Linked DNA regions of Coturnix japonica. The protein of the gene in region 2 interacts with the protein of the main gene of each other region in a biochemical or structural test. Links are inferred from orthologs where the notes say so. Each region holds a gene or a part of one and is shown on either strand. Other genes may lie near its edges. The genes, in order: NRIP1, RXRA, NCOA6, POU2F1 and TRIM24.

Region 1 (3,852 bases), on a different chromosome or scaffold from region 2:
CTCCTATTATCACTTTCATTATTTGAACCATGACTTACAGCATATTTAAATTCTGAATCACTTCTGCCAAATTTCAGTTCTTGCTGGTTTAGCAAAGGCCCATACAGTGCCTCTGTAGGAGAAACGTGATTGTTTGCAGCATGAGACACATTAGTTTTCATCTTTTTTAACGGACTTTCCAAAGGCTCAGCATGAAGCTTCCTTTTCTTCGGTACTGTGCAAAGACTCTTTGATTCCAGGTGTGCCAGCTCATTGTTTTGATGACTTCTGTCCACCTCATCTGCAGGGTAACTATCCTGATTCTGTCTCAGCAATCTACTTAGCAGGCCATTTTTGGAAAAAGAAAAATCTTGAGGTGAAAGAGGCTCAGACTTCATCTCCTCAGATGCTGGAGAAGCAGCTGTGTTTCTCTGTAGCGAATGAACAAATCCTTGAAATTTGTTACCCTTGCACTCTCTTATTTGTTGTGCATTTGAATTATAAGGGACATTTGATTCTTCAGACGGTTCAGTTTTTATTTTCACTGTCAATATTTGCTCATTCAAAGCCTTATCTGTGTGTTCCTGAGAACTTTCATCTCTTAAAAGCACCCTCTCTTTCTTTTCATTTTTACCTTTATTGGGAGTTCCCAGAAGCAGCTGAAGGACAGTTCGCCTTTCAAGGAGATTTTCTATTTCCGAACCTGGAAGTCCTTGTTCAGTGGGTACAGAATGACAACTTAATATTTTGTTATTTTCTTCGTGAGTACTTAATTTATTTGTAAGCAGAGGGCTGTTCAATCTATCAATCAAGCCTACGGGTTTATCTGTGTTCCCCACCAGCAGATGTTTGCCGGATCTTTGTTCTTCACTTGACATGGAAGTCTGCATACCACACTGAGCAAGATTCTGCAACAGCTTGCTGGCACTGAAAGCTGACGAGTTTTGTGGACTGTCGTTTCGGCTCAGCTTAGCTCCTTGAATTTCTTTGCTTTTTGAAAGGTCTATCAAATGTTTAGATGCAGGATTCACCAGCCTGTCTGGCTGGATGCTGCAGGCATATGGTGGTGAGCTACGCTTGATGGCTAATGATGGGTGAGAGAGATTTATAGGAGAGTCTGCTTTTGCAGAAGCAAGCAAAGGTGGAGTGTTTAGTGGAGTCATTCGATTTGCATTGGGACTGTCAGTAACAGGAGTCCTTTTACCAGTTTGTACAGTGAATTTTGCCACATCAGCAGCACTGTGTGGTCCCTGAGGCTCATTACTTTTGTCTACCTTTTCTTCACTCTTATGCCCAAGTAACAGCTGAAGTAGTGTTACTTTTTGATGGGGGTTCAGCTTAGATGCTTTTGGAGTGTCTTTGTCCTCCTTGCTCTCCGGACAGGAAACTTTTGGATCCCAGCTATGAAGCAAGGACTGAGTCAGGTTATCCAGTGACGCCGGTGGACCTGTGTCTGGTTTGTCTGTCCTCTGTTTAAAAGATAAGTCTATAGGAAGACAGTTAGAATGGGAACTTTCGTCATCGCTGCTGTCATCTGTAAAACTAGGATTGTTGTCTGAATACTCATCAATAGTTGTTGGTGTGCTACTCTCTTCAAAAATGCTGGCTCTCTCACTCTGTTCATGGCCTTTTAATTGTTTGGTGGTATTCTGGCTTTTCAGGAGATGTAAGAGCAAACTGTTGCTGGGAGAGGTTTTCACATTATTCCTTTCCAAGGTACTTTTGAATCCAACATTTTTGGGTGGTGAATGTGTGATTCCCACCGAACTCTGAAACGGTGCCATATTGCTTTTGCTAGATACCATTTTGGTTGATGATCCTGCTTGACCATTGAGATGGCTTGTCATTCCTTTTGCTAAACTGAACTGGCCAATATCTTTTTGAGCACTTTCTTGTAATCTGGCCATAGCTGCAAGTCTCTCACTTGCTATTTGATTTGCATTTTGTGCTTTTAAAGCATGTTCCCTGGAGTACTGCTGCAAGTGAGCTTCACTTGAAAGTAGTAAAGCTAGTTGGCTGCATGCTACACTGGGCTTTGGTGAAGCAGCAGGACTAGATCGTTTCTCTACCATGCTTGCCACAGCTTGTAATCTTGCAGCACATGACAGTGGTTCATTTACTACTTTAGGTCCGCTCTGCACTGCATGAGGAGATTCTATAAACCTCTCTTTGGGCAGGTTCTTTGTTATATCAGGCAAGCTGTTGTCCAACTTCTGATCCTTTGCTTTGCTCTTCTTCAATAGAGTCTTCAGGTGACTGGATGCAACACCATAGCACCGTAAATCTTTCTCCACCTGTAAAGAATCATGGCTAAGGGAATAGCCTTGCTCCTTAAGGCTCTGTCTAATCTGCTGTGACAGAGCAACACTCTGAAGCCTAGAGCTGAATGACTGAAGCAAAGAGGCAAGTAATGTGCTATCCTGTTTGCCTTTAGGCACATTTTCAACCATGCCAGCTAACAAAGCTTCCTTTTTTCCGTCTAAATCCACAATGGAATCAGACAACCGCCTTCTCTTCGCTGCATTCCAATCTTCAGAAGACTGCAACAGCCTTGCTTTTTTGAGGTGCAACATGCCAGATCCCTGATATGTACTTGTGTTAAGAACTGGACCATTACTTTGACAGCTGGGAAATATATTTCCAGAAATATTAAAGTTTTGATCCTCTCCACTATGCCCAGCAGACTTTTTGTCAACTGTAGTACCTGAGCCTCCTGCCGCTTGATGCATTAGTAATCCTTCTAGGTAAGTTAGAACAACAGAATCCTGGTGCATCTCAGAGCCAAGCTCTTCTCCATGAGTCATGTTCAATAAAAGTATCCAAAAGGGCTCTGTTTCTATTCACTTCAAAGACCAGTTTGCTGCAGCTGAATCGAGATGCAGAGTTAATAAATAATAGATAGATGTCTATAGCGTGTTCTCACAAACTTTCAGAAGCAACACAGTCACATTCCAGGCAGGTTTCTTCCAGTGTATCTTGACTGAAAACCAATCATGTCCCTGTGTTGAGATACAGAATATTTACGACGGATGTCGAGGAAGAGCACTCAAAACACACTTCTAAGGCAGTAAAGTTCTATTACATATTTGCTTTCTTCAGCTTTCTCCAGGAAGTTAGTTTGGTTTTCATCTTTTTCCATCTCCATCAAGAACACAGAATACCTAAGTGGGGGAAAAAAAAAGAAAACCAAAAAACAGTGGTCAAGAAAAAGAATTTGGGTAAAATCTAAATAAACTGCATAAGAGATGTTTTTTCCACATACAGTTCTAGAGAGATCCAAGATGTACAAGCATTAATCACACTCTAGAAGAAATTAATGATTGAATAATGCAATGAGTCTACAGCACCTAATCTGAAGAACGTTGTGAAAATCACTCTGAGACAGAAAGCATTATGTAAAATCTAAGCTAAAGTGAACTATCCTAAGAGTAGCTACTAGAAGTGATCACTGAATCTCTCTGCTATAAAACTCCAACTAAAAACTAGTAACCATGAAAGAAAAATCTAAATATTGCTCAGAAAAATTTACTCTGGATTCTACCTCACAGTTCCAACAATATTTTTACGTTAGCATGTGAACACACAAGGCATGAACAGCATCACTCTGAAAGAAAATTAATGAGGGAAAAAAATGCATCTAAAAGTCAACGTTCAGGTTCATGTTGAATTTGTCAAACACCTGAATAAGCAGCAACACATACGAGCACATTTCTGTTCTTCCAACTCCCAACTACCATAAGTAATTTGAAGAGTCAGGCAATAGGAAGGGAGGAAAAGGCAATTATTAACACATTCCTGCTAGAACTTCATTGAAAGATATTTACTTGTACATTCTTTCCACGTATTCGATGTAAAGTGGTGAAAAAGCAGGCC
Region 2 (3,852 bases):
ATCAAGCAGAGTCACACCAGTGGATGCAGACTGCCATCCCCACTACAACAGTCCTTGCATTAGTGAAGGTAACCTGAATTTTGTTGTACTCACTGGGAGACAGCACAGAAATCAAAGGCTCACACAGCTGGCAGTAATTCACAGTAAGAAAACATTCCTGGCTGCTTATTAATCAGAGCCTCAATAGCTCCAGAATCCATAGGGCTCATACAGCATCAGGATGTGCTGTAATGTCTTTTCACAGGGAACAGCCAGAGATACATGCTCCAGAAGGAATCCTTTCCCTGCAATAAGCCTCGATCCCCCAGATCTGGCTCCTAAAGCCTCCACCCAAACAGCTCCCTATGTCCTACCCTTTCCCAGCACCAGGCTGTAGAGCAGTCATTGGAGAACCACTGAACAATGTCTCCTTCACTACTTAATGTAGAGGGTTTTGCTGTCCTTCCATGACACACAAACATGTCTGGGCTATAGGAGAGATTCCTCTGAGCAGGAGTCTGCATTTACGGGGCTATAAATTAGGTCTCCAGAGTGAAGTATTTTGTGAGGAAATGAGGCTCATTACCCCAGCTATGTTACTTAAAAGAGGTAACAGTTTACACCAGAGGATAATGGCCAGCTTTCTTGTAAGCAAGCATTGGGGCTAAAGGAACCATTGTGCACGATGCAGCCCAGAGCTGCTCCCAAATGAGGTGCTGTGGGGACAACTACAGCCAAGGCTCAGGGCTGGCAACAGGGAAGGACAGCAAGAGTGGGATGGATGCAATGGGACAGAGATGATCTGCTGGGAAATCAGGTGGATCAGCGCTAAAGAACCACTCAAAACTAGAGACTGGAGAACTCCAGCTCCAGGTGTGTGCTATAACAGTGGGACACCTCTGCACTGCCAGCAGCCACTGCACTGCCAGGCTTACTGCTACCTAGGGAACAAGACACTGAGCCCAGCTCTGCCTGCATGGGGATCATACCCTATGCACCACCAAAGCCATCCCTGTGCCATGCCAGCACCGCCTGAGCGCGCTTGGAGAGTTACGAAGCTCCCATCTGTCACACTTTTAAATAATTGGCTGATCGTTCTGAATTCATTTGCTATTCACTGCGATAATGTTAATCAAGATGAATTAATAGAGCCCTCGCACTGTACGCGAGCTCCCCGGGGAATTCCACCACCGTTTAGAGATTAATTAATAGAGCTGTGACTTCAGTTGGTGATGCCCGTGCAATCGCTGCTATTGGTGAGCACAGAGCAGTACCTGATGATCACAGGATATGATTGCTCACAAACCAAGGGGATGGAGAACCCATTCCCCCAAACCACACTCAAATGAGGTCTCTGCTCACTGCTGCATCAGGCACAGCCACCTCCATGCTGCCAACCCATCGCTGCTCCAGTTTCCAAGCACCAAAGATCTATAGGACCAGGGGAGGCACCCCAGGGGCTCTCCATTGAGATGTCAGCAGGGAAAGAGCTCTGCCTGCCCCAGTGAGGGTGTAAGGGGAGAAGGCAGCGGAGACCTGAGCAGCACCACGGGGTCACTTTCCCATCGTGCCTGCTAAAAGCCCGTTCTGCCAGCAGTTTCAGAGAGATGCAGTCAGCATTTAAAAAGAGCACTTCAAAGAGGCACTGCCAGGGAGTTTTAGATCCTTCATTTAAATTCCACTAAGGGGAAGGGATATCTTTTTACAAGACTGAATTTCTTCTTTCTTCCCAATAAGAAAAAAAACCTAACCAGCCAGCACTGCTAGGGAACACTCCTGGGTCAGCATAACCCCAACTATAGACACACAGGGCACACCATGTGCCTGACAGCCCGTGTGTCACCCCAACAACACAGCCAGGTGCCCATAGGACACACAGCACCCCAGGGGGGGCTCAGTGCCTTACCTTCCCTCTTCATCCCCATGGCAAGACACTTCTGGTAGCGGCAGTACTGGCAGCGGTTGCGCTGGCGCTTGTCGATCAAGCAGTCCTTGTTGTCACGGCAGGTGTAGGTCAGGTCCTTCCTCACCGTGCGTTTGAAGAAGCCTTTGCAGCCCTCACAGCTGTACACCCCATAATGTTTACCTGCAGAGGTGTGAAAGGGCTCAGCAAAGGTGCTGGGTGCCCCACAGATCCTTTGCGTGGACCTGCAGTTCTTCTCAAAGGACCCTCCCAACCCAAAGCTGTTGTTCCATGATCCTTCCCAGGGCAGCATTTGGGAAAGGCAGAGCATCAGCAAGAAGGCTTTGAATTCATTGATCTCCATAACACCAGGATGGCCTGTGGGGGCTACAAACTGCCCCAACCACCATTGGTTATCCATGCAGCAAGACTGGGGGCACCTCCCTACGGCCCTCCCCATCCCAACAGAATAAGCAGGAGGCATCCCACCAGACCACAAAACCTAGACAGCAGGGCACTAACTGAGCTGAAAGCTTTTAAAGCAGCGTAAGAATAAAGGGAATTAGCACATCTTTATCTCCCACCAGTAGAGAGACTCCACAAAGCACATCTTTTTATCTGGTGCTATGTGATGAGCCCAGCCATGGATCAAAGGATACAGAGAGAGGGACAGTCAGCTAATGGCTGGTCCTCCCTACTGGGGGCTGGGGATAAAGCATGGGATTGGCTCTACCAAGGAGCCTGACAAACTGTTTATTTCTCTCGTAACCATTAAGGCAGTGTGAAGAATGGGGAGGTCAAACAGCTGAGCCCAGCACGTCTCACCTGGGAGAAAGCAAGCCTGGGGATGCTTTCCCTTTTCCATGGGGCACTACCGTCCCTAAGCAGAGGGGATGGTGCTAAGCTCCTATGTGCCTTAGCACTCTCATTGGCAGCATGCAGTACAGGAGGAGCTTTACCTGAAGATCTGTCCCCGCAGATGGCACATATGTGCTTGGTGAAGGAGGCCATTGTTCCTGAGGGATGTGCTGGCACTTTGAGGACTCCATTGAGCCCCAGGGGTGGCTTGATGTCTTCTGAGCTGCTGACGGGGTTCATGGGTGAGTTGAGCTACAAGGACATAAGCAGAGAGCACATGGGATTGGGTACAGGCAGGAAAACATATGAAATAGGGGACAAACAGCTTAAAACCCACAGTGCTGAGCCCAGAGAAAGATATGGGCACCTGACCCCAAAGATCAGCAAGCCAAGTGCAACAAGGCCTGGCTTTGCAGAGGACTGTGCTCCCCCCCTGCACACAGAGAAACTGAGGCATGGAGGTGTGAGACAAGCTCAGTCCTGGCAATGGAAACAAGCTCACAGCAGCCTGTGCTCTGCTATCCTGCCCCTGCCCTTGGCTGCATAGCCCCAGTAACCCACTGAGGTGTGAAGGAAAGGTGTGAGGACAGAGCTGCAGCTCTGGCCCGCAGGTTCCAAGCTGCCATCCCTATTGCAGCAACCATCTGCACCTTCAGGGCCTCAGGGGTTTTCTCTGCAACAAGATTTTATGCTCAGTGCCACCAGAAAGATCCCTCTGCAAAAATGCTCTGTGCTGGTGTCTCTGTGCCCTCCTATAGACACATTGAGAGGGGACAGGGATGCAGGAGGGACCCAATGGGGACCAAAACCCAGCCCAGGGCAGGTGCAATGGGGTTCTATGTGGGCAGTCAGGCTTCTGCAGCTCCTGCCAACTGCTAAAACAAAGCAGGACAGACAGGATTTGTGTCTCAGCTTGTTGTCTTTCTCTCCCTTAATAGTGACACTGGGCAATTGCACTTGTCACAGATTAATTCAGGGATGTCCCAGCGCTTGTGTTCTGTCCATTAGACAACCACAGCCACTTCTCTGACTTTCAAGCCTCCAAGCTGGTGGGAATACTTGGCAGGCAGAGGGCTGAAAACCACAGCACACAGAGAGGCAAACTCACCCCA
Region 3 (4,537 bases), on a different chromosome or scaffold from region 2:
ACACCTTCCTATGCTGCACAGCTATTTCTTGTCCAGTGCTATTCTTCACCAGCAAGAATAATTCTCCATGCTTTCCTTGTACCTTACAGTAAGGAAGGAGGTTTATGGGTGTGCCTTGCAGGAGTGCAGGACACGGGTTTACATGTGATGCAGGCTCTGTAAGAAACTGCCCAGAGATGGAGCCCCATACCAGTTCCCATGTCTCGGAAGGTCACGTATATTTAACTATTAAAAGAGTAAAAACTACAAAACTAAAAGGACGCACACAGGACTTGGAGAACTTAGCAGCATGTATCTTTTGGTGAGAGTAACTGAATCATTCCTTTTCACAAAATGCAGACTTAAAATTCAGACTCTCACATACACAGCTCACATCTTCATAGTTTCATAGTTTCGTGCGGGTTTGGAAGGGACCTTAGAGATCATCGAGTCCAACCCCCCGGGATTCGAGCCTCTGTGTAGCAGAGCGGCACTTCTACCACTTGCAACACAGGGGATTCGAACCCAGGGCCTCTGGTGTTGCAAAGTGGCGTCTTTAACCACTGCGCCACCGGAGGCATACATCTTCTGTTCCAGTATCAGTTTATATAAGGACAAATCAATTTAGACAAGGCACAGCTCTTCTACTGTACTTTTTAATTGCTGTACAAATCTGACCCAAAGCCCTCTGCTCCCTGAAGCTGCAGAAGGGAGCAGCCCCCTCAGTCCCAGAACGATGGCTGTCACACTGAGCACCTCCCTTCCTCAGGTGAGCTCTGCCGCACACTGCTCCTCCTTCACTTCCCTAAATACATGAAGAGATATTTACTCTGACACGACATCAAGGTCCCCATACATAGACACCAGAATTCATCTCTTGTTCCTACTTTAAGGACATTACCACCAGACTTGGAAGTGCTGTTCCAAACGCAGGAGGCTTGTCAGCAGCACCAACTAACGACACAGGACACATTGCAAGGGCAACAAGCCCTGCTGGCAGATGGTTTTTACCTATGCTTTCAGACCTCTGCAAAGTTTCCTCTAGCTCCTCTCTGTGCAATCCAAAGCCCAGCCTTCCCCCACTCCTTTCCTTCTGATTAGGCCACAAATAATTCAGTGTCACACATCATCCCGAGGGAAGCCTTCAGCTACCAAGATGCACAATCTAAGCCATACACAGGCTGTGGGGGCTGAAATGTCACCTGTGTGGGGCAGCTGCTGCTGCAAAACAACTGATTCACTCCGAGGCCACCAAAAGTTTGCAAACAGGGCAGAGCAAGAGGCGGACAGAACACACAGCAACCACTGCCTCCATAAAGCAAACATGACAGAAGTTCCACCTGTCAGCCAGATGGAAAACCTCTCACCTGGAATACGGGGATGGACCTCCCCTGCCTCAGGTCTGTATATGTCTAGCATTATTTATCTTTCAATTTCTGCCCCTTTGCTTTCCCAATTCTAAGCATTCTTTCCCATAGCTTCTGCTCTGGCCAGAGTTAAGGAACAAGTTTGTCTGAACACAATTTCTGCTATGCAGACTCTCAGCTTTAAGCCCTGCTGTTCATCCAGTGGGAGCTCCCTGTACATCGTCGCATTTGTATTTCTCAATAGAGGCCACATGGTTTTGAAAGAGACACCAACACCAAGTTCCCTGCCCTTCAGAGGGGCACCAATGACCTGTAACAGCTCTATTTCCACTGCAATCCAACTGTTACAGCCACCTTCGCTCCTCAATGTCCTTGGCAGCAAACCTTCTGCCTTTGCAAAACTCTTAAACACACTGTATCTGTGTAGCTGCAACTCCAGTTTTCTTCCAAAAGCAATCAGTACAGTATTCAAAACTAAAAACATGCTGGAAACCCATTCAATGACCTAGTTATGAGTTTAAGACGTTTAACATCTGCTACAAAGGTACGCGATCTTTGGCAGTACCACAGCTAAGAACTGAGCGATAGTACAAATGTTCATCGGAACGCTATCGCCCCATGTTTCAAGCATTTAAGCAGCTGAAAAGTGAAAGCATTAATACTCAGTTTACAAACGCAGGTAGAGGCCTGGCTTTCTCATGTTCTTCCACACATTTCAAAAGAAGCAGCTATTTCTTTACTAGAACAGCATAACATTACTGCACACTGCCTGATGTAAGCAGCGAGACCCACAGAGCGGGCCGAGCAGCCCCCGACCCGGGGCACACAGCTCAGCACCGCTCCTCCCGCACCAGCCAGGGGAAAGAAAGGGAGGTCGGGCTTTCTGAAAGAAACCGAACTTGGAGAAAGGCCGGGACACACCGAGACTACAGGACCAGAAGATCGCTACGCTGGAGAGTTACAGAGAAATTCAAACAAAAGCTGGGGCTCAAAGAAACGTCAGCGCACCGTCACTGACATCTTCGTGACACCCGCCGAAGAACCGACCCCAGAAACAGCGCCCGAGCCGACAGCGGCTTCAGGCGGCTTTAGCGAGAGCCGCTTTCCTCCTCCCGGGGCTGCGCACCGCCGGCTGGGCCCGGCCCGAGAGCTCCGCAGGCCGCGGTGCGGCCGCAGCTGCGGGCGGAGCCCCGGGGCTCGGGCCGCGGCCCGAGAGGGGCCCGACGACGCGGCCCGGCCCGGGGCTCCCGTCCGAGGGCACCCCTCGAACGCTGCGGCCGAGCGCGGCCCGGCAACCCCCCCCCCCCGGCGGCGGCCCCGAGCACGGTGAGCGCTCGGGCGACTCCGCGCCGCGTCGGGCCGGCTCGTCCCGGCCCGCTCCGCTCCGGGCCGCCGCTTCCGCCCCGCCACCCCCGTCCCGCCCGTGCCGCCGAGAGGCCGCGGGCCGCCCCGCCCTCACCTGGTGCCGGTGTCGCCGCTCCGCCGCCGCCGTGACCCGCTCCGCGACCGCGCGGGGGAGGGCGAGGAGCGCCCGTGCGACCAGGGGCGAGCGGAGCCCGCGCCCCGTGACAGCGGGGGCGGGAGGTCGCGGTGGGCCCTGGGGCGCCCGGACACCCTCCGCAGGCCGCCGCTCCGCCTCCCGCCGCTCCGCCGCGCGCCACGTGACCTCCCGCCCCGCGCCGCCCGCGCCTGCGTCCGAGCGCGCTGCGCCGGGAGGGGGGATCCGCCGGGACGGGGGGTTCCGCCGTGCGGGACGGAGCTGCTCCGCGCTCCGCCGTCGCCGCCCCGCGGTCTCCGCTCTCCTTCATCGCCGCTCCGCGCCGAGCGGGCGCTGCCGGCGGCATCGCGCGGCCCCGGTCCCGGCCCGCGCACTGGGAGCCGCCTTCCGCGAGGCGTCCGCGGGGCCGCGGCGCCGTCCCTCCCGCGGCGCTGTCGGAACCGGGTCCGGCCGGGCCCGGGGGAGCGGCCGGCGCTGCCTGCGGGGCGCTCTGGGGAGCGGCCGCCATCTTTGCCGGGAGGCCCCGGCCGCGGGCGGTCCCCGGGCTGGCGCCGAACGCCGCCGAGTGAAGAAGCCGCTCTGAGGGCGCCCGAGCCCGGCACGGCCTGCGCCGTGTGCTGCAGGAGTCTCTGCAGACGTTCGAACCCGCCTGCGTGTCTTCCCGTGCCACCTGCTCTGGGAGCCTGCGTTCAAAGTCGGCCGGGTCCGGGGCAGCCCCCGGCGCTGCGGCTGTGTCAGCAGCGATACTCGGCTCCTGCCGCACGGCGGGAGCGAGGCCTGCGCTGCTGAGGGAAAGGTGTAACGGGATGGAGTCGTGCGGAACGGCACTAGAATGTGGGGATGCTTTTGAATAACGGAATGCTTTGGTCCCCGAGCAGAGAAGGGGCACACGGGGCTGTCTGGCAGGATTTAGCGTGCGGGGCACTGAGACCCGCAGGAGTTCACGTCATATCCTGCAAGGCTGAGTGCACGTGGGCAATGCCGAGCTCACACCGCCGCGGTGCCGCTGCAGAAACGTCACTTTTTCTTCTGCCGGTCGCCGCTTTCATTGAAGAGCACCCATGTTCCGCTGGTAAACAAAAGCAGCACGTGGCAGCTGCTGTGTAAGGCCACTACAATGACCAGGAGTCCCTTGTGAAAATCCAGTCTTTGGTCCTTTAAAAAACCGCACAGTTGGCACAGCAATGTGGGCAGGTCCTGCTGTGCTCCCTGGGGTGCACGGCCCCCAGCTCACTGCTGGGCACAGCCCCGATGGACCCACAGAACGGCACGACAAGAGGAAACCTCGGTTTGTTTGCAGAACGTGTGAAATGCAGCTGTCCCACTTGTCATTTGCTGCTAGAGCAACACGGAACAAAATAGGATTTCTTAAATGGATGTATGAATCCATTCCATGGGAAAGCAAACCACCACCGTTATTGGATGACTGATGCTTCTGCCAAGTAATTTTGGTGTGTGGAAAGCTGCGAGCAGGCTGTTTATGCAGCACTGGCAGCTCAGACACTCCCTGCTGAAGGACAAATTGCTCAGCAATTCTTTGCTAGGGGGTTCTTCTGCTCGTGCCTCTCTCCATGTATATCTGCCCCGGTGCCTGAGGTGTGGGAGCTCCCTGCACAGCCTTCGTGCTGCCTCTCCCCCAGCGGAGGCACACAGAGGTTTGGGAAGAAGCGTGGGGGCATGGAGTTGTGAAGAA
Region 4 (3,852 bases), on a different chromosome or scaffold from region 2:
CAGTGAAAAAGGCTGCTGGCAGCACAGCTCAGCCCAGCTCACTGTGCCTTGGAGGCAGTAGTGGTGGTGGATGTGGCCCCGCTCGCAGAGGCCACCGTGAGGAGAGAGTTCTGGATGGACTCGGCTGAGGTGGAGGTGGCATGAAGGCTGGCGACTGGTCCAGAGGCCCCTGCGGAGGCTGCAGCTGCAGAGACCAAGCTAACCGGGTTGCTGGTGAGCAGAGAAAGGTTCTGAGGGTTCAGGAACAGAGGGGCAGTTACGATGTTAGGAGTACCTCCAGCATTGGCAAACACCAAGTTTCCAGATGCATCCAGTGATGTTATTGGAAGAGAGCCACTAGATGCAAGAGCTAAAAAATGGAGAATTAAGTAGGGAGGAGATAACATCAGTAGTAACCAACAATGCCAAACGTGCCTAGAAGCAACAGGGCTCTGCACTTTCCTTCCCTGATGTGAATGCCCCCTACACCACTAACGACAGACATCAAATGTAACTTTTTCTCTTTTTAAACGACAGCTCCTTACGAAGGGTGAATAAGACCTTGCAGATATGAAAATGCTTCTGTCCACTTGCTCCTAATTCCATCAAGCTTTGCTTCAGCTCTTTTACTGCAACACTGCTCTACGTTTTCTGCCAAAGAAAAACCCGTGCACTCAGGTAACTTGGAAAGGGTTGAGATGCGTGTTCAGTGGAAACAACAGTTATCACAAGATGAAGGTCATGTAACCTTGAGAGTAACTTTTTAAATTACGACATATAAATGCGGTTACAACTTAACTCTCTCACAAGGCTACAGGGTTCAGTCTGCCTTAGATTAAGATCTCATATATTTATCTGTGACCCTTTGTGAAACGGTTCTTTCTTGGACCCTGCAAACAAGATTTGTTAAGCTGCTTTAGAAGATCACAGAATCAATCACAGAATCGTAAGGGTTGTAAGGGAGACCGTATAGTCCAACCCCCGAGATGTTTGAATACACAAGGTTAGCTAGATGTTAAGGCACCTGAACCAACTCTCTTTTTCCCCCCATAGATGACAAACTATGCAGCAAGAGCAACTCTTACTTATTAAAGCCAATGGAGATTTTTGACTGCATGGCAGATGCAAAACAAAGCTTTACTCCTCCAAATATGGATTTATGAATTTAAAGTTCCACGTAAGGAGTTTTAGGGGTAGAGGTTTTTTCACTCATTTGTTTAAAAGACATTTGAGAAGAAGAAGCCAGGATCAAGTCTTTCTCAGAAGTGCTCTCCCACAGATCTCAAAACAGCGCAACCCTGCTCAAGCTCATGTCAGAAGAGCTATAAAATGCGTATCTCCAACCTGCTGGAGACACGTATCCCTCTAGAACTATGGGGCAAAGACAAGGAAATAAACTCCAGATCACACGCAGTATCTTAAAGGACTTCTGTGAATCTCTATAAGATTATACCTGACTCTACTCTACTTTCTGAAGTTTCACCTGCTCTTGAATCCGTGACACATACAATGAATTTGGGCATTTGAATTTTGAAAAACCTCCAGTCTGACAACACTTATGTCCAGTTCTGAAGAGCCAGCGTTCTTTTTTTGTTTTTGTTTTTTTTTTTTTTTTGTGGTAGAGAACAACAAAGCTAAGGAAGTACAACAGAGATGCATTAAGAAGTGCTTTACTGACCTTGAATAGTTGCCAGTGTACTGTTGCTCATCAGGGCTGGGCTGAGAGCACCACCTAATGTCCCTGGATTGAGACTGAGTAAGGCACCTCTGCAGGAAGCAAGATCATGGAAGAAACAAAGACAAAGAGTGTTACTTTTAGGAAAAGGTGGCCATAGTTTAGAACTACACGACCATATATTTTTTTAAAGGGGGTGGGAGGGGACATGAAAGGCCTCAATCTAGTTTTTAGTTAATTTCCTTTTTTTTTGACAGTATCTTGAGTAGATGTTGCCTTTCAGCTCTGTGGCTAGCAATAGGTCTGAAGTACAGGCAATGTAAGTACATGTTGCATTGATCGTAGCTGTAAAATATTCCTGTAATGTATTTTTGAGAAACTGTAACTTGTTAGATAGCTACCATAAACTCCTAGATTCAGATAAGACAGATGTCAATCAAGAGGAACTGAAGAAACAAAGAGCCATCTCTCAGAGCAATGTTTTTTAAAGCAAAATCTTCAACAACACATATTATGTATTTTTACACTTCTTGATCGTGAGGGAGAAATGAAAACAGAGGTGACAAGTGGGCCTAGGCCAACTCTCCATTTGAGATGATTCAATGGTTTCTGGTAAGTTGCAGCTCTTAAGTCAAACTCAGCAGTGGGATAGATGACTGCAAACAACAACACTGCAACACAGCTTTTCCATTTGTAAAATGAAAACCATGTTTGTGTACCCTGATGGGAATGCTTACCATCTATAAGCAAACCTTCAGAATTTCAGGTAAAAGACACTAAAAGTGCCAAATGAGCTACCAGAAAACTGCAATACATAAAAGACCACACAAATCATTCCAAGAATTCTCCTTCCCTTTCCTGCTGCTTAACCTTTAAGGGTGTGAAAAATTCATCCTTACCCAGCTGCAAACTGTGAGGATGCCATCAAGCCTGGGTTTAGTCCTGCTGCAGCAGCCATGGCAGCGAGACTTGCATTTGCAGGCAACTGTGCAGCTCCTTGTAATGCAGCTGCTGCTGCTGTTTGCAACCCTGATGCTGTTACCATCACCTGGCTGGTCCCAAGAGGGGAGGACAAGGGAGTGGAGGTTGTCTGTGTTGTGCTGGTCTCGCTGGCACTGGATGCCTCTGAAATGGAGGCTGAGGCAGAAGGGGAAGGACTCAGGGAGGGTGATGTCACTGCTGAAGAAGCTGGAGGTGCCGTTGAAATCACTGTTGCTGTGTTGTTGGAGGTGGTTTCTGTTGTGCCTAAAAGATTGAGTCTGGTTATATCAGTACAAAAGCCAGATATAACTGAGCAGAAACCACTAACCACTTGAACTGAACTGCACATCCAACCGAAAGGGAGATAAACACATTCTTCTAGAACTGAGATGTCTGACTTTGAGTTTGGGTGTCAGTCTACAATGGAATGACACTTCAAGAGGAGGCTGAGGAGCACTAGAAGCTAGCAATAGGAGGCAGCACCTTGCACTTCACTATCACCTGTACTTGTTTCCTAAGGAAAGTTAACCAAACGGTCACAAAGAGTGAAGTTTCAGAGCAGAATAATGTGGAACAATGACAAGGATGCCCTGAGATACTTGTGTGACTGCTACTGAGATAAAGAAAGACCTTCTGAATAATTTGAAAGGGGAAAACAGTAGAAGTTAACATGGGCACAAGGCAAACCTGCCCAGGAGCTCTGTTTAAAGTTGAGAGAAGAGGAATACTTGGAACCAACACACAAAAGATGAGTTCACAATATCCCAAAGATTCTTTATCTATCATAAAGGCATTTCTCTTTCCTGTTTTCCAGTTCTAGCCAAGCAGATTGAGGATATCTGTCTGAAACATCTTCGCAATGCACACATCAACACGCAATACCTACTTTATACAAAATCTTTGGCAGTAGATCCCAGAGAGTTCTAAATTTCTCCCAAATAACTACAACAAAGGGCATTAGAAATCCAACAATATCTTTACCTCTATAGAACCTCAATTACTTGTTTGACATCATAATTTACCTGACAACTAAAAATAAATGAACTGTGAAGAAACTGTCAGGGCATGCACCCCTTACCTGTGACTGACAAACTAGTTACAGCAGGACTGGTCAGAGGGAGCACAGGATTGACAGTCAGGGTAGTAGCTGCACTGCTAGTCACAAGGCTTGGCGTGGTTGCCACCTGGAGGTCAAAAAAGAATACAACTGCTCAACT
Region 5 (3,852 bases), on a different chromosome or scaffold from region 2:
GTGGAAGTCATATGTTCTTCCACTCCCACTCCTTCCTTACCTCTCTCTGCTCCCAACACTGGAGGCACTGGGTGAACGTATTGGAGGGTGTATGTTTGTTACACTGACACCTCCTAGGATAGAAGAAGCAGATTAGAATGTAATACACATCTATGCCAAGTCTGATCCATTATTTGGAGAAGTATGTAGGTCTTTGGCAAATTTCTCTTGCCTTGTTATTTATTTAATCAATACCTCATCTAGTACAAAACCATAAGAGAACAAGAAAAGAATAATAGAGTAAAGGAAAGAACTATTTTTGGCATGTAAGCAGGGTGATGATTTAGTACCTTTTCCTGGTTGATGCCTGCACTTGATCACTGCAGTTTGTTTTGTCTTACCTTATTAAATTCTATTTCTAGTTTCTAATTGTGTAATTTACTATAAAACTTCAAGCCATATTAGCTGGTCAGAAAAATGAGGCCTCAGGACAGGGTGTAGATGTGAGATCCCAACAAAGGGTCTAAGGGTCAGACAGCAGAAAATTTGTGAAGGGTAATTTTCCTGAGAAAAAAGAATCAGGCTGTTTGCGCTGTCCCTGTTTACGAGAGCATCTGTATGCACCGTCCTCTTTTCTGAGCTAATCTGTCCAAGTGCATGAACATCAAGTAAGAACATACTGGGAATTCATGCTCACAGAGCCTCACTACAGGCCAAATCAGGAAATGGCCCATAGTGTAAGAATAAGGAGCATCCACTGATTCCACCAGGTATGGTGCCAGGAATCCCATGTGTCCTTCAATTCTACCACATTTAGCTACACATAACAATAATCGTTCTGGTCAACTTCTGTCAGTGCTACACTACTCTCCCAGTGAAGAAGATTTTCTAATGTCCAAACTGAGATTTGCAAGTGACCAGTTGCAGCCATTATCTTCTGTTACATTCATTGCATTACATTCATGTTACATACATTACATTACATTCATGTTACATCCTATCTTGCTTTACCGAATTCTTCCCTCCTACTAAAGCTTCTAGGATGCTATCTAGTATACCTGAACAGGACAGTTTTCCACAGATAAACTTGCATTTGCAGTTTTCTTGTGTCTACTAAGTTTTTACTCCATGTTTTTAAGGTTTGTTGACTTAACTTTGTTCACAGCACTAAAGCAGTCTCAGCTTTACCTCATACTAAGCTTTCTAACTATTTGCCTTTATTTTAATATTTCTTATTGTGGATATAAAATACAAGTAACTCGTTCTGATATCAATGTTAACATTGCCGTGTTACGTTCTACCATTACACTACATGAATAGAAAATTGTATCACAGTCCAATTACCTGAGATGCCTGGTGACGGTACTGATGAATTTGGTGACTGCACAGTTCTGTTTGAAGGGGGTTTTGGGTGGTTTTGCTCTGCAGTGCCATCATCCTTCCTCGCAGCAGTATCCAGTGTGATGTTTCCTGAACAGTCAATCTACAAGATGGTTAACAGAGGAAAAGTAGCTAAGAGTTGGGGGAAAACAACAAAACAAAAAATATAGTGCCTCTGCCATACTTTTGTTTTGGAGATGAAGACCAAAATGAAGACCACCTAACCTGAGCCATCCTAAAAGTGGTTACTTTAAAACATCTGGTTTTCTCTAAATAGAGAAATGACCAAACCCTGACAGTGTTTCATATCATTAGTTTATGCTGAAGTGGAAGAACCTCAAAAGACACTTAACTCCATTTGCCTCACACATCTTCTGGGTAGGGGGCACACATATTCACTCAAAACACACTCAAAACAAGTCAACGTTTATTTATTCATGACTCAGGCTAGACAGTGGAACTTTCTTTTAAGAACTGCAAATTTATCAGTCTAGCTTTCTGTACAAGCTATACATTCTGATTTGGTAAAGAGAAATAACATTTTGAGATGTTAGTTTGCTGCTGGTTTGTTTTGTTCCGTTTAATAATACATGAGATCATGCTTGATCAGAAAATAGGTCACTTTGGTATCAGCTTTCTTAACTATCCAGACACATCTCAAATCTACAGGCAGCAACTCCATTGAATGCTGAAATTTCTATTTAAATGCTAGACTTCTCAGCGTTGGATGCAGAAGTCTCTGCTAGGTCAGCATACATGCAGTGATTTCAGCAACACATCTTCATAGCATAAACTTAATCACATACAAGCAGAAGAGTTCATAACAATGGCATGCAAAAAAGCAGTGTGCTGTAATGTCTCACAGATTCTGTAGTTTTATGATCATGTTGTGCACTTTATCTTTTTACTCTCACAGATACTGTGATATCAATGTACTCTTTAAAAATAAGACTCTTAGATTTTTATCGAAGAACATATTGTGGAGATTAAGAGACAGGAGGGAGAAATGGAGTAACAGCAAGTTATGGCTAGAAAATTGTGACATTTTAGTTCTCTATAAGCTCAGACTACAAATATAGGCTCAGCAGTTACTTGAAAGAAGGAAATAAAGTTCACCATCTTTAATGAGAATCTCTGACAAATAAGGACCAATCAGAAGAAAAACAAAGAACTTAAGATACTCCTCCAACACCTGCTCACATGCATGTTAGAGCAAGTATGAAGGAAAGAAGTATCAAAAAGAAGAACTATAAGGAAAATTTGACTCCACTACATCAACAACAACCACCTAAGATAGCACTTTCAATGAGTTATAATGAGTTCATTGACCAGTGGATAGCAGTAAAGAATGTAATATGAAGCAAGCACATAAACAAGCCCTATTACTGTTACAACATGGAATGTTATTTTTCTTTGCACTCTTAATAGCTGTTTCCCAGAACAGGCCTGAATACTGCCAAAAATATGTAGGAAATCCCACATCACTTTCTGAAATTATCTCATTTTGATAAACCAGCAGAAGAATTTCAAAACAAAAAGGATTTATACTTTTCAAAACCATTAAAGCATGCTTCAAAATAGAATCTGTGACAGACTGGTATGGATGGTACACTCACATCAGGAAGAGATGGTAGATTGTAGGAACTACCCACTGGAGAACTCAAATCTATCACAGGAGGACCGTATGTCTTCCCATCACATCCTGCAGCACTAGTGACTGTGGGGCTGGATGGAGTAGAAGTTATGCTGCTTGCTGTTGAAATGGCAGTTGAACTTTGTCCATTACCGACCTGCCACTAAAAAGACAAGACAGTGATCCACAATTCAGTATTTTTCCCTCTACAAAATATACACACTACACATTGTTGCTCTAAGTCATCAGCTAAACAAGCAATCTAGTACAGTAGGTTGAATTCAAATATAAAATCCCAATTTACTCTGAAGTTATCTGATTTCAACAACCAATATTACGAGATGAGGAAAGATGACAAGTAGTTAAAAACTATGAAAAGAATAAGTGAATGTGAATTCTTAAATTCAAAGATGCATCTCAATGTTGAGTATCTATTAATATTTCATGCTGCACTGACAGCGCTGTAGGAGAAATGTAACAGTTTTAGTGAAATTAAAGCATTACAGATAATATGATGAATATATAGCTACTCCAGTACTTTTACTAAGTAAATAGCTACATTGTACTTGGATGCAATCAATAATTTAATGCTTCCCTTAACAACTTAAGGTGATTAAGAATTTGAAATGCTGAATAGATTTCCACCTACCTATACATTTAACACCATGATTTAAAGTGTACAGTCAAGTCAAATTAAATTTAATTCTCATTCAGACATACGCGGTTTTCAAGAAGTGAATTGGAATTTCATGGCAACTCTAGGCAAAACTTGATTCTGCTTGATTCCTTTTGTCAGTCATTCTGTTCACTGGTTTCTGCTTTGAGAAAGACACTACTAGATAATGAAAATACTTGAAAGA

Evidence for each region.
Region 1: the proteins of RXRA (region 2) and NRIP1 form a complex in vitro, tested with the Homo sapiens proteins (2 studies listed by BioGRID). The link is inferred for Coturnix japonica from reciprocal best matches to the Homo sapiens genes RXRA and NRIP1.
Region 3: the proteins of RXRA (region 2) and NCOA6 form a complex in vitro, tested with the Homo sapiens proteins (5 studies listed by BioGRID). The link is inferred for Coturnix japonica from reciprocal best matches to the Homo sapiens genes RXRA and NCOA6.
Region 4: the proteins of RXRA (region 2) and POU2F1 form a complex in vitro, tested with the Homo sapiens proteins (2 studies listed by BioGRID). The link is inferred for Coturnix japonica from reciprocal best matches to the Homo sapiens genes RXRA and POU2F1.
Region 5: the proteins of RXRA (region 2) and TRIM24 form a complex in vitro, tested with the Homo sapiens proteins (3 studies listed by BioGRID). The link is inferred for Coturnix japonica from reciprocal best matches to the Homo sapiens genes RXRA and TRIM24.

What each region holds. Positions count from the first base shown.
Region 1 is NC_029516.1:88,408,528-88,412,379, forward strand, and holds part of NRIP1 (nuclear receptor-interacting protein 1), read right to left. Parts: intron 3,141-3,852; 5' UTR 2,784-3,140; coding exon 1-2,783. UniProt on the Homo sapiens protein: Modulates transcriptional activation by steroid receptors such as NR3C1, NR3C2 and ESR1. Also modulates transcriptional repression by nuclear hormone receptors.
Region 2 is NC_029532.1:5,848,970-5,852,821, reverse strand, and holds part of RXRA (retinoic acid receptor RXR-alpha), read right to left. Parts: intron 2,993-3,852; coding exon 2,842-2,992; intron 2,066-2,841; coding exon 1,886-2,065; intron 1-1,885. UniProt on the Homo sapiens protein: Receptor for retinoic acid that acts as a transcription factor.
Region 3 is NC_029535.1:416,849-421,385, reverse strand, and holds the start of NCOA6 (nuclear receptor coactivator 6), read right to left. Parts: upstream 3,001-4,537; 5' UTR 2,806-3,000; intron 1-2,805. UniProt on the Homo sapiens protein: Nuclear receptor coactivator that directly binds nuclear receptors and stimulates the transcriptional activities in a hormone-dependent fashion. Coactivates expression in an agonist- and AF2-dependent manner.
Region 4 is NC_029516.1:82,215,119-82,218,970, forward strand, and holds part of POU2F1 (POU domain, class 2, transcription factor 1), read right to left. Parts: intron 3,820-3,852; coding exon 3,714-3,819; intron 2,900-3,713; coding exon 2,554-2,899; intron 1,747-2,553; coding exon 1,658-1,746; intron 631-1,657; coding exon of another isoform or gene 521-630; exon of another isoform or gene 356-520; intron 350-355; coding exon 39-349; 3' UTR 1-38. UniProt on the Homo sapiens protein: Transcription factor that binds to the octamer motif (5'-ATTTGCAT-3') and activates the promoters of the genes for some small nuclear RNAs (snRNA) and of genes such as those for histone H2B and immunoglobulins.
Region 5 is NC_029516.1:55,902,148-55,905,999, reverse strand, and holds part of TRIM24 (transcription intermediary factor 1-alpha), read right to left. Parts: intron 3,156-3,852; coding exon 2,976-3,155; intron 1,463-2,975; coding exon 1,324-1,462; intron 114-1,323; coding exon 41-113; intron 1-40. UniProt on the Homo sapiens protein: Transcriptional coactivator that interacts with numerous nuclear receptors and coactivators and modulates the transcription of target genes.